3 linked regions of the Arabidopsis thaliana genome follow. The protein of the gene in region 1 interacts with the protein of each later gene in a pairwise test. Each region holds a gene or a part of one and is shown on either strand. Other genes may lie near its edges. The genes, in order: AT4G29450, ATBET12 and AT3G12180.

Region 1 (3,755 bases):
GCAGGTAATATCATTATACCTAAGAAGCCAGCAAGTGCCGGGCCTGTCGTGGAGGTGGATCTGGCACGGAGTAAAGCGGACACAAAAGATGGCCTTGGAACAAATCAAGGCCCTCAAACAAAAGATGGCTCCAAAGTCTCTGTTCCGATGAACCCTTCTCCTTCTTGATCATTAGGTGACTCATAACTCTCAAGTTTTGTAGATTATTTAACTTTGTTGTCTTATGAAAAATGATCAAGATCTTGAATTCTCTCAGGTTCATGATTCCCATGTATTTTATACATTACATTAGTTTCTCTTTTACTCTAGATATGAGAGGATTCAAAACGAATTCATACTTATATAAGAAATCAAATGTAGAAAAGAAGAAAAAGTGTATATGGATTTTTTTTTTCTAATAAATCAAACATAAATTCTGTTGTTTCTTGATGTAAAAATCAGCAATGATACGAAAATCGAAACATATTAATCTGCAATCTATTTGTAACAGATTGCATTAAGAAAATCATTAGCCGTTGCGAATACATAGCTTAAACGTGTTCTGTTCCAAGAGGTAACAAAAATGATACTCTGTTTTTACCGTCCATGATAATGCTTCTTCGAGAAGGAACGTCCATAAAATATGATGATTTGATTGGTAGTCATGCAACTTCTTCATTTTTTAAATTCTTGTGTACGTAAAAGAGAGAGAGAGGGGAAGGACAAGAAAGCAGGAGGACCAACCAAAAATGGGATATTCCATTCCAGAGAGAGCCAAAAATAGTTTGGGACAGAATTTGAAAGAACACAAAACCCAAAAACTTCAACCAGAGAGCGAGATTTAGAAAGATGATCACCGGGCTTGCTTTGTCACGTGTTGCTTTCGGTTTAACCGCCTTCCTCCTCCTCGCCGTCGTTAGCAGCCAGGAGAAGTGCAGCAACACCTGCATTGCACAGAACTGCAACAGTAAGATTGTTTTTTTCTTATCATCTTAGTTCTTATGCCTTCCTTTGATTTTGGAGAAAAAAACTTGTGCATGCATTATATGTTTTGATCCAATCTTTGTTTTCAGGTCTTGGTATTCGCTATGGGAAGTATTGTGGGATAGGTTACTTTGGATGTCCTGGAGAGCCACCTTGTGATGATCTTGATGCTTGTTGTATGACTCATGACAATTGTGTTGATTTAAAAGGTAAACCAATCAACAACATAATCTATGCATGAAAACCATTCTTGAGTTAATATTTGGTTTTTATTAGGTATGACTTACGTTAACTGCCACAAGCAGTTCAAACGTTGCGTAAACAAGCTAAGCAAATCTATTAAACACTCTAACGGAGAAAAGATTGGATTCTCCACACAATGCCCTTATTCGATAGTGATACCAACCGTGTTCAATGGAATGGATTACGGCATTTTCTTCAGTGGGATAGGTAATTATTGAGCTCTGATTTTGTGACATTCAATATAAGCTAGTACTAGTGATGAAACCACATGACTCTTTTTCTGTTACATTGTGACATTTCTTATGATAAGATATATGTGAATAATCTCTGCGCAGGTAATATATTTAATCCCCCGGTGCTGGGAAGCGTGCCCGTCGTGGAGGTGGATCTCGCTCGGAGTAAAGTGGACACAAAGGATGGCCTTGGAACAAAACTAGGCCTTCAAACAAAAGAAGGCTCCAAAGTCTCTGCTTCTTTAAATATATGAGCCCTTCTAGTACTATTTCTTGATCATCTTCTAAAGTGACTACTCTCTGTAACTTCGTTGTTATAGAAAATTCATAAAACAAAAAAAGACTTTGAATTCTGTCCCAGATCAAAATCAACTGGCAATCAATGACTCAGTCTATGTATTTTATCTATTATTTTGGATGTTAATCACATCTTTAATAACTTCACTAAAGTCAAAACGTGACATTGTCACTAATTCCATCTTATAAAATCCAGGTTGTCTTCCTGTCCTTAGTGGGAAATATATATAGTTACTGAGCCAATGATGAAAGAAAAGTCTACAAACACCTGGCTAATACCATAAAGAGTAGACTTTGCACTTTTTGGCTTTTAATTAAGCTTATCTTACTCGCACGTAGTCTGTTTTTTTCCTGAAGATGGTAAGCTGAAGAACTTCTGAAAAAAGAGAGAAGAAAATGAGGGCTAATCTCGTTTTCGGCATATTTTGTGCCCTTGTTACCACCATTTTAGTTCACGGCCAAGACCAATCAGGTTCCCTCTTCTCCTCTCTGTTTTGATTTGAAATTGAGGCGAGGTTCAGACTGAAGAAAGCTTGAGTTTTATTATGAAAAGTTTTTGTCTTTTAAACATGTCTTGGATTTTTAGTCAAACCCTTATACAATGTCTTGTGTTACAAGTAATCATACAATTCTCTCTTTTCTCTGTTTTCTAATTTGAAATTGACCGATGTTCTTGAAGGTTCTTGAAAGTTGTGATCTACGTTTTTGTCAATATAGAGAAACGAAGTTAGGCAGATTTTTAAACCTATCCATGAACGTTCTCAGACGTCATAAACAATTTTACTTGTGTTGGAAGTAACTCCCCTTTCTTCTCCTCTGATCCAGGTTACATCAGCATCGATTGTGGCATACCTCCTTACGATACCCCTGAAGACACTATGACTAACATTAATTACGTCTCCGATGAAGCTTTCATAACCACCGGCGTAAACTTCAAGGTCTCTGAAGAATACGGCTATCCAAAAAACCCGGTATTGCTGTCAACTCTTGCTGAAGTAAGAGCTTTCCCTCAAGGAAACAGAAACTGTTACACCTTAAAACTTTCACAAGGAAAAGATCATCTTTATCTCATTAGAGCTTCCTTTATGTATGGAAACTACGATGGTAAAAAAGCTTTGCCTGAGTTTGATCTCTATGTAAACGTGAACTTCTGGTCGACAGTGAAATTCAAAAATGCTTCTGATCAAGTCACCAAAGAGATTTTAAGCTTTGCAGAGTCGGATACAATATATGTTTGCCTTGTGAATAAAGGCAAAGGAACTCCTTTTATTTCAGGGTTAGAGCTCCGACCAGTGAACAGCTCAATCTACGGTACTGAATTTGGAAGAAATGTCTCTTTGGTTCTCTATCGAAGATGGGACATTGGATATTTAAACGGAACAGGACGGTACCAAGACGATAGATTCGATCGTATTTGGTCTCCATACTCCTCAAATATCTCCTGGAACTCGATTATAACATCGGGCTATATCGATGTTTTTCAGAACGGTTATTGTCCACCTGATGAAGTTATTAAGACAGCTGCTGCTCCTGAAAACGTTGATGATCCGTTGGAATTGTTCTGGACATCAGACGATCCAAATGTTCGGTTCTACGCATATCTTTACTTCGCGGAACTCGAAACACTAGAGAAGAATGAGACTAGAAAGATCAAGATTTTGTGGAATGGTTCCCCTGTTTCTGAAACTTCTTTCGAACCTTCTTCAAAATATTCAACGACGTTTTCTAATCCAAGAGCTTTCACTGGTAAAGATCACTGGATTTCTATTCAGAAGACTGTAGATTCAACGCTTCCACCGATTCTCAATGCTATAGAGATTTTTACCGCACAATCTCTAGATGAATTTTCCACCACAATTGAAGACAGTGAGTTTCCACTTTCAATCTCTATTTAGATAGAATTAGATTTCTACTGAAACTCACATAGTCACATTTTCTCTTGGTAATGCAGTTCATGCTATAGAAAGCATAAAAGCAACTTATAAAGTGAACAAGGTTTGGAGTGGTGATCCTTGCTCC
Region 2 (3,755 bases), 6.2 Mb from region 1:
TTAATTTATTAAATACACAAGCTACATAGAAAAGAACAGTGTCTTTAGATCCATACTTGACCAGCCGGTCTAACCGATAAAACTGTTAACTAGACATATAACAATCATTATTTTACAAGATCCTATAATTCAAATACATATTCAAATATTTATTTAATATGCAAAGATTTTTATTTTATACCGAATAAATACTAAGATTTATCTTGTTTATTGACTTTTATTTTTAAAAAATTTTATACCGTATTTATGTCCGATCAGAGCCGTCCATGAACGCAATAGGACCAAATTTATGCTTGCGGCCTCAATTACTACAAATAAAATATTGACCTAATTTTTTTATAACTTTCAGTAAAAACGTTGATTATTTGATTCTTAGATACCTATGGTCGTCAAAAGTTTGAGTCCATCTACCTTCATTTACCTTGTTATTTTTTCATTTTCACTCATTAAAATAGGTCTAAATTTTGTTCTTTGCTTGCAATCTATTAAATACTAGAGACGGCTCTGTGTTCGATTAATGACACCACGATGGGACTTATAATACAAATCAGTATACTCATATATTACAAGATCATGTTAACTTTCTTACTATTTATATTTTGGTTAGCAACATGCAATATGCGGGTTTGAATAAGGCCATAAGGGTGATGACACACTGACAACACTAACACAAACCATTGGATTACATTTTTTTGTTCGTGTAGAAGTTAATCAGGCGGCTAGTTGACTTGACTTGGCCTGAAAAATGCAAAAACCTCACATATTTAAGCACATCGTGACATGGTCCGATTTTTGCTTTCTTTTGTTTTGTGGCTTAGATTGTAAAGCTCTGTCCGCACTAGACTCAACTTACATATTCATATTCATATTCACCTCTGGTCCATATATATTATAAAAGTCCAATAGAACATGTTCACGAGAATCTGTATAGGTAAACCTCATCCACCATTTAACATTTCATGAACATGTTTGACTTCCATTAACAAGATCGATGTCTTTGTAATTTAATATTAAAAAGAACTTTAACATAAAAACAAGCATGGAAAATTCAAAAAGAATTGGTCAAAGAGTATTGCCAAAACAAAAATGTAAAGAAACGGGAAAAGGGAAGATAAAGCAGCTAATTTTCTTTCTCCAACTCTGACCAATGACCATATCCAAGCGTGTATGTAATGTACCTAGTCAACATGTTACAAGTCGTGGCCCTCCTCACCTTATTATATATGTCATCTACATAAACATCAGACATCACACACCAACATCATTATTATGTTCTTTGATACAAAAGTACTCAATTATCCTACAATTCACAAATCTATCTCCATGGCGTCCACGATGCAAAGAACAAGCAGCTCCGCGGCCAGTAACGAGAGGCAACTTAGCCAGCTACAGAGACGAGCTCCGTCTTTAATGATCAAACCAACGTCTTTTAGTAACTGGAACGTGGCGATCCCTCTCCTTTCACCGCTCGCTCCTTCTCTAACATCATCCTTCGACCAATCACATGTTCCTCCGCCGCAGAACAAGACTGAGATACCAGTGGAAGAAGAGGTGAAGAAGACACCAGTTTTCAAGAAATGGCAACATCCCGCGTCGCCGTTCTGCTACGAGCCAACAACGTTTGTCCCACCGTTCATCCAGGTTTAGAACGGTTCATCAAAATTTTGTAGATTTGATGACTCAGCTACCAGCCCCGTGTGAATTTTGTTCCTGTGATATTACACGCGGTTAACTATTTTTCACGTTTTTGTATCAGTTTTATCCTCTAAGAGATAATATTATTCACTAACAAAGTATTAATTCAAGTTCTAAATGGGTAAAAAAAAATGCATAAAACACATGAAACAAAATTATGGGAAAAACATGGAGAAAATAGTTGCATGAATTCTTTAAATAAATTGTCAAATTAACCCATCATACATCTAGGGTTGGACTTTTCTTTAAAGTTCATTTCTTCAAAGTGTTCACTTTTAACAAATAAAAAAACTAACTTCATGGATTCAATATGGGCCGAACTAAAGCCCAGTAAGCCCAATTCAATTTAATTCTATTTTCTTCTTCTTCTTCTAGGGACTTGTAGTACAGTAAGAACTTTCGTACGTTTCTCGCAAACAAAACACGAAAACTTACGCTTCTGGAATTGAATCCAAATCGAGAATTTCCTTTACAATGCTCTAAATTCGTCTGTTATGTTGAATCCTTCGTAAGAGAGTAGAATCGAAGACGAATCAAATGAACTTTCGAAGGTTTGATCTATTGATCTCTTCCTCTGCATTCGAATCCTGTTTTTATGTAGATTCATCAATGTTTAACAAATGATATTGATTCTGCTCTCGATCGAATTTGATCTAGATCTCTTCACAATCTCCAGATTCACTCTTTCTGAAATCTTAGTTTTTTGAATCACCGACATTCGAATTCCTGATTCTGAGTCATTGACCTAATTCTAGAGTTCTAATTACAGTTTTCCAGATTTTGAATTGAGTGTATCCAACTAGAATTGGAGAAAATTGGATCTGATTAAGAACCAATGGTTTTGATTTCTGTAGGGAGAATCGTGCTTCGAGAACGTCTCTCTTTGATGGCCTTGATGGACTTGAAGAAGGTCGCTTGAGAGCTTCTTCTTCGTATGCTCATGACGAACGTGATAATGATGAAGCTTTGGAAAATCTTCAGGACAGAGTTTCGTTTCTCAAGAGAGTATGTTTCTTTCATCTATATAACTAAAGAATCAAAATATCAACACAAGCATAAACATTAGGATTAAGAATTGTGATTCTTTATTGTGAAATGGATGGTGCTACTGATCCTTATTGTTTGAGAAAGAACAGTCCCTTAAGCACTGCTAAGTCGAGACCCTAAATGTATCTTTCGAGCATCGAACGATGATCTAATGCTTTCGAAAAGTCTAGATATAAAGAAATTGAACTTAGTTTTTAGTTCCTAGATATGTATTGAAATTGTAGATTAAGAACATTCTCTCCAGCATTGCTATCACTAGACCCTGTATAAGTCTTTCGGACTCAACGACAAGGATCGAGCTATGATGTAATGCCTTAGAAAAGTCTAGTTATGAAAACAATGCCTTTTTTGTTTTCACTCTTGTCAAATCTAGTTTGCAATAACGCTTGCCTGAGATGTAAGTTGGTAATAATATCTTATCAGGTGACTGGAGACATACATGAAGAAGTTGAGAATCATAACCGCTTGCTTGACAAAGTGGTAAGCTGAAAGTTTGATTTCATCTGTTTCAGTTTGTAGATCTCTATCACATGCTTTTCTTCTAAGCTATTTGTTGTTGTATCTCTAGGGGAACAAAATGGACTCCGCGAGGGGGATAATGTCGGGAACGATCAACCGCTTCAAGTTGGTATGTAAATAAGATTTCGTACCTTTTATATATGCATCACCCCTTTTGTTTTTCGCTATCAAAACTTATATCTGAATAAAACTCGATTTTAACACGACAGGTCTTTGAGAAGAAGTCTAATCGAAAAAGTTGCAAACTCATAGCTTATTTTGTGCTCCTGTTCTTGATCATGTATTACCTTATTAGGTAAAATACACTTCTTCTTATAGTTATCAAAACACTTGACTTTTCTTAGGGACTGGTTCAAGTCCTTGTTCTTTGACTCGAACACTGACAATCTTTCGGATTTTGCAGGCTATTAAACTACATCAAAGGGTAAATTTGGATACAAGAAGAAAGTAGAGTGTTAAATGAATAGTTTCGTTTGGGACTTCCATTTTTGGAT
Region 3 (3,755 bases), on another chromosome or scaffold:
GTAAGAGGCTAAGAGACTTTACTTGGTTAAGATCCATGGTTTGATCAATTTGTACCGTAGCTGTTGCAATTCTTAGTTGTTTTCTTGGTGGTTAGTAGAATTCAGTGAAACGAACTAATGAATGCGTCTTTGTTGAAGGTTCTTGGTGTTGAAGCAACAGCATCTCCACAAGAGATAAGGAAAGCGTATCATAAGTTAGCATTGAGGCTTCATCCTGATAAAAACAAGGATGATGAGGTTTAACTGAGGGGTTTTGGTTTCTTTACTTTTCTTAGTTTTTAGGGGTCTATTCAATTTTACATTGTAACCGGAATTCTTGTTTTTCTTATCCAATACAGGATGCTAAAGAGAAATTTCAGCAGTTGCAAAAGGTTATTTCGATTCTCGGTGATGAAGAGAAAAGAGCAGTCTATGATCAAACTGGCTCAGTTGATGATGCTGTAAGTTGAAAGAAAGTTTTCAACTTAAGTAAAGGTACTGGAGGATTTTCTTACAAACTGGTTATTTCCCTATCTCATTAGGATCTTTCGGGAGATGTGGTTGACAACTTGAGGGACTTCTTCAAGGCAATGTACAAGAAGGTAAGAATCATGATTCACAATTGATTTCTTTTTGGACTTTGCAACACAACTGTTTCGTTCTGTATACTGATCATTTGTGCTATAGGTCACCGAGGAAGATATTGAAGAGTTTGAGGCCAACTATAGGGGTTCTGAATCCGAGAAGAATGATTTGATTGAGCTATATAACAAGTTTAAGGGTAAAATGAGCAGGTAATTAATCATCCCCTTGTTTTCATTATTGTCAAGTTTGTGAGTTGAAGTTTGTATAAACATTATTGGTACTATATCTCTTTCAGGCTTTTCTGCTCAATGCTTTGCTCGAACCCCAAGCTTGATTCGCACCGTTTCAAAGATATTATCGATGAGGCCATTGCAGCGGGTAGGCTTCTCTTTCTTGCAATAATTCTTTTGTCTATAAAACCTATCCAGGTTCTGATTTGTTTGTGCATACCATTGTTTAACATCTGCAGGAGAAGTGAAATCAACAAAAGCTTACAAGAAATGGGCAAAGGAGATTGCAGAAATGGAACCTCCCACGAATCCCCAGAAGATGAGACGGAAGTAAGCTTCTATTTGTCTACCTTTTCCACCCCAATAAATGCCCTCTGAAGTTATCTTTGTTGTGACCTGTTTCAAAATTTCTATACTTTCAGAGCAGCAAAGGCTGCAGATAAAGATTTATACGCTGTAATGTCCCAGCGGGGAGATGAGAGGAAAGAGAAGTTCGATTCAATGTTCTCTTCACTTGTCTCTAGGTATGGTAGCAATGCTGACTCTGAGCCAAACGAAGAAGAGTTCGAAGCTGCTCAGAGAAAAGTTGAAAGCCGGAGATCATCGAAGAAGTCTAGAAAAAAATAAAGATTATGTAGTAGTTTGTGAAATTTAGGTTTCGTGTTTGTAATGGAGACCAATGTTTTTAGCGTAAATTAGATCACATTTGTTGCTTCTTAGAAGTTGAAGACTAATGTGTATTTGCTAGGAAACAATGTGTATTTTTACTTTTTGTCTTTTTTCCAACAACAAAAAAAGCAGTGAGTTTACCAGTTCAAAAGCTCAGGGTCCCACGTGTATGTCGTCTGGATCTTCAGAAGAAGAGAAATTCTATCACCGGGTCCTAGGACTTCTCCACCTGCAAAAACAATCAGGTCGAGTAATGCATCATAATCAGTTGATAACTAAACAAGCCTTTGTTACAATGTAACATATAAACGTACGGTATCAACCAAGTTTCTCGGGAAGAGGAGAGTGGACGGATCCTTTGGCTTGTATAGGCCTAAATAAAGAACTAACAAATTTCAAGTGAACTTATTTAAAAGAACCAAATAATTATTCTAAAAGAGAAGAAAAAAATGAAATTATTTACTTATATGGCTTGTATAGGCCTAAATGGCATACAGTTAATAAATTTTGTTAGTTCTTTATTAATTAACACCAAGCATCTTTTTTTTTTGTTGAAAAAGAAAAAGGAATTTAACAAAAAGGATATTCACAAAAAGAAACTAGAGAAGTAATAATAAAAAGGAAAGAAGAATCTAATGTCCAATAGAACCCCAAAGTAAAGTACACCAATTGTTGAGAGAAGAAGAGTTCTTTTTTTTTCAAAGGTATTTAAGGAGAAGAGTCGCAGTCGCAAAAAGACGAATCGTAATTGTTGAAGAGAGCAAATATGGCTTGGGATTTGTTTTTATGGATAGTCTCCTTCTTCGTTAGCTTGGCTCTCGTCGCTTCCGTCTTCTACCAGGTAATCTATCTACTTTGTTTGTCCCCTTTTACTTTCCATTAAGATTCTTAAATCGAGATCTGTCCTTACTGTTCAAATCCTGATTGTCGGAATTGTACTTGTGAAAAAACACCGAGCAACTTAGCTTTTTGTTCGAATTAGCTAAAAAATTAGGAATGGAACAATTTTCCTTTGTGTTCGTCGGTTTTGTACTAAATACAATTGACAATTTTTTGGGTCCAGAGAGGTTTCATTGTTTATCCTTAATCTTATGCTTCTAACTCAAAGTTGTTCTTAGTTCTGATTTGGATTGTCTGCAAGGCTTGTATATGATACTTGGTCAATTGAGACATATAGTTGATTAATTGCGAGTTATATACTGTGAATGAATGAAGTTAGATACTACTACCAATAGTGTTTACTCTCATACTAACTGCCTCTGCTAATGATTGAAGCATTGAGATTCCTTTTTAGTCTATTGATATCGTGTGTGATTTTGTAGGTTATCTGCTTAACGGATTTAGAAGCTGATTACTTGAACCCTTTTGAAACAAGTACCCGTATCAACCGATTAGTAATACCTGAGTTTATCCTCCAAGGGTCACTCTGCCTTCTCTTCCTCCTCACATGGCATTGGGTCTTCTTTCTGGTCGCCGTCCCTGTAACAGTCTATCACGCAATGTTGTAAGTATCTATATCCATCCATATTGCTTATGATTCTTGATTGACATGCGTGGAAACTAAATACGCGCCTCCCATTGTTCTTCAGATACAAAGAGCGACGTTATCTCATCGATGTCACTGAAGTGTTCCGTGGTATCAGCTTTGAAAAGAAGCTCCGGTATACCAAGCTCGGGTTCTACGTCTTTCTCTTCATCATGGTTGTCTTTAGGTAAAAAAAACTACAGCTTTAGCTTTCCTATTAACATCTTCACTTACTTTGGTTCTTCTACTATGAAGTTACTTACCGAGTCCATAAAACATTTTTGCAGGCTCACTCTCTCTGCGGTCTATAGCTTCACGGAAGATGATGATCTACTTCATTTGTTTTGATTTATGCGCTTGCGCTCTGCGTTATCAACCACTCTCTCTTTATTTTCTGAGTGTGTTTTAGAAAATTGTGACAGGTTTTTATTACGTCCCTGCTTAGAATTAGCCATTCAGGGATTCATCATGTAGCTTTATATAACGTATGATTACCGAAAACTCATCACAAATCGTTTGACATGGAGGGTTTCATCAGTTTTGTTTTGCGCAATATAATGTTCAGTCTCATCATTGAAGTCATAAAAATCATGTATCAAGAATGAAGCTACATTGTATTACATAGACTGGCTGTGGAAAAACGCACCGATATCTAGTTTATCGGAGATGCAATTGAACCCGCTGTGGACCTTAAATCCATGTCCATCCAAGAGGAGGAGGAGAAGGTGACCCAAACAGAAACTCTGCAAGAACAAAAACCAAGGCAT

The links.
Region 2: the proteins of AT4G29450 (region 1) and ATBET12 interact in a protein complementation assay, tested with the Arabidopsis thaliana proteins (one large-scale study listed by BioGRID).
Region 3: the proteins of AT4G29450 (region 1) and AT3G12180 interact in a protein complementation assay, tested with the Arabidopsis thaliana proteins (one large-scale study listed by BioGRID).

Annotation. Positions count from the first base shown.
Region 1 is NC_003075.7:14,481,004-14,484,758, reverse strand, and holds the start of AT4G29450 (Leucine-rich repeat protein kinase family protein), read left to right. Parts: upstream 1-2,132; coding exon 2,133-2,208; intron 2,209-2,561; coding exon 2,562-3,602; intron 3,603-3,687; coding exon 3,688-3,755. Other genes in the region: PLA2-DELTA (Phospholipase A2 family protein), read left to right, coding at 5-168; PLA2-GAMMA (Phospholipase A2 family protein), read left to right, coding at 829-946, 1,053-1,172, 1,240-1,413, 1,542-1,693.
Region 2 is NC_003075.7:8,308,250-8,312,004, forward strand, and holds the start of ATBET12 (Target SNARE coiled-coil domain protein), read left to right. Parts: upstream 1-2,069; 5' UTR 2,070-2,232; coding exon 2,233-2,246; intron 2,247-2,549; coding exon 2,550-2,700; intron 2,701-3,165; coding exon 3,166-3,222; intron 3,223-3,310; coding exon 3,311-3,370; intron 3,371-3,470; coding exon 3,471-3,556; intron 3,557-3,664; coding exon 3,665-3,689; 3' UTR 3,690-3,755. Other genes in the region: AT4G14450 (uncharacterized protein), read left to right, coding at 1,270-1,647. UniProt on the Arabidopsis thaliana protein: Required for vesicular transport from the ER to the Golgi complex. Functions as a SNARE associated with ER-derived vesicles.
Region 3 is NC_003074.8:3,881,235-3,884,989, forward strand, and holds AT3G12180 (Cornichon family protein), read left to right. Parts: upstream 1-2,095; 5' UTR 2,096-2,229; coding exon 2,230-2,304; intron 2,305-2,785; coding exon 2,786-2,967; intron 2,968-3,052; coding exon 3,053-3,175; intron 3,176-3,275; coding exon 3,276-3,336; 3' UTR 3,337-3,630; downstream 3,631-3,755. Other genes in the region: AT3G12170 (Chaperone DnaJ-domain superfamily protein), read left to right, coding at 139-237, 339-440, 522-581, 667-773, 860-942, 1,034-1,124, 1,217-1,421.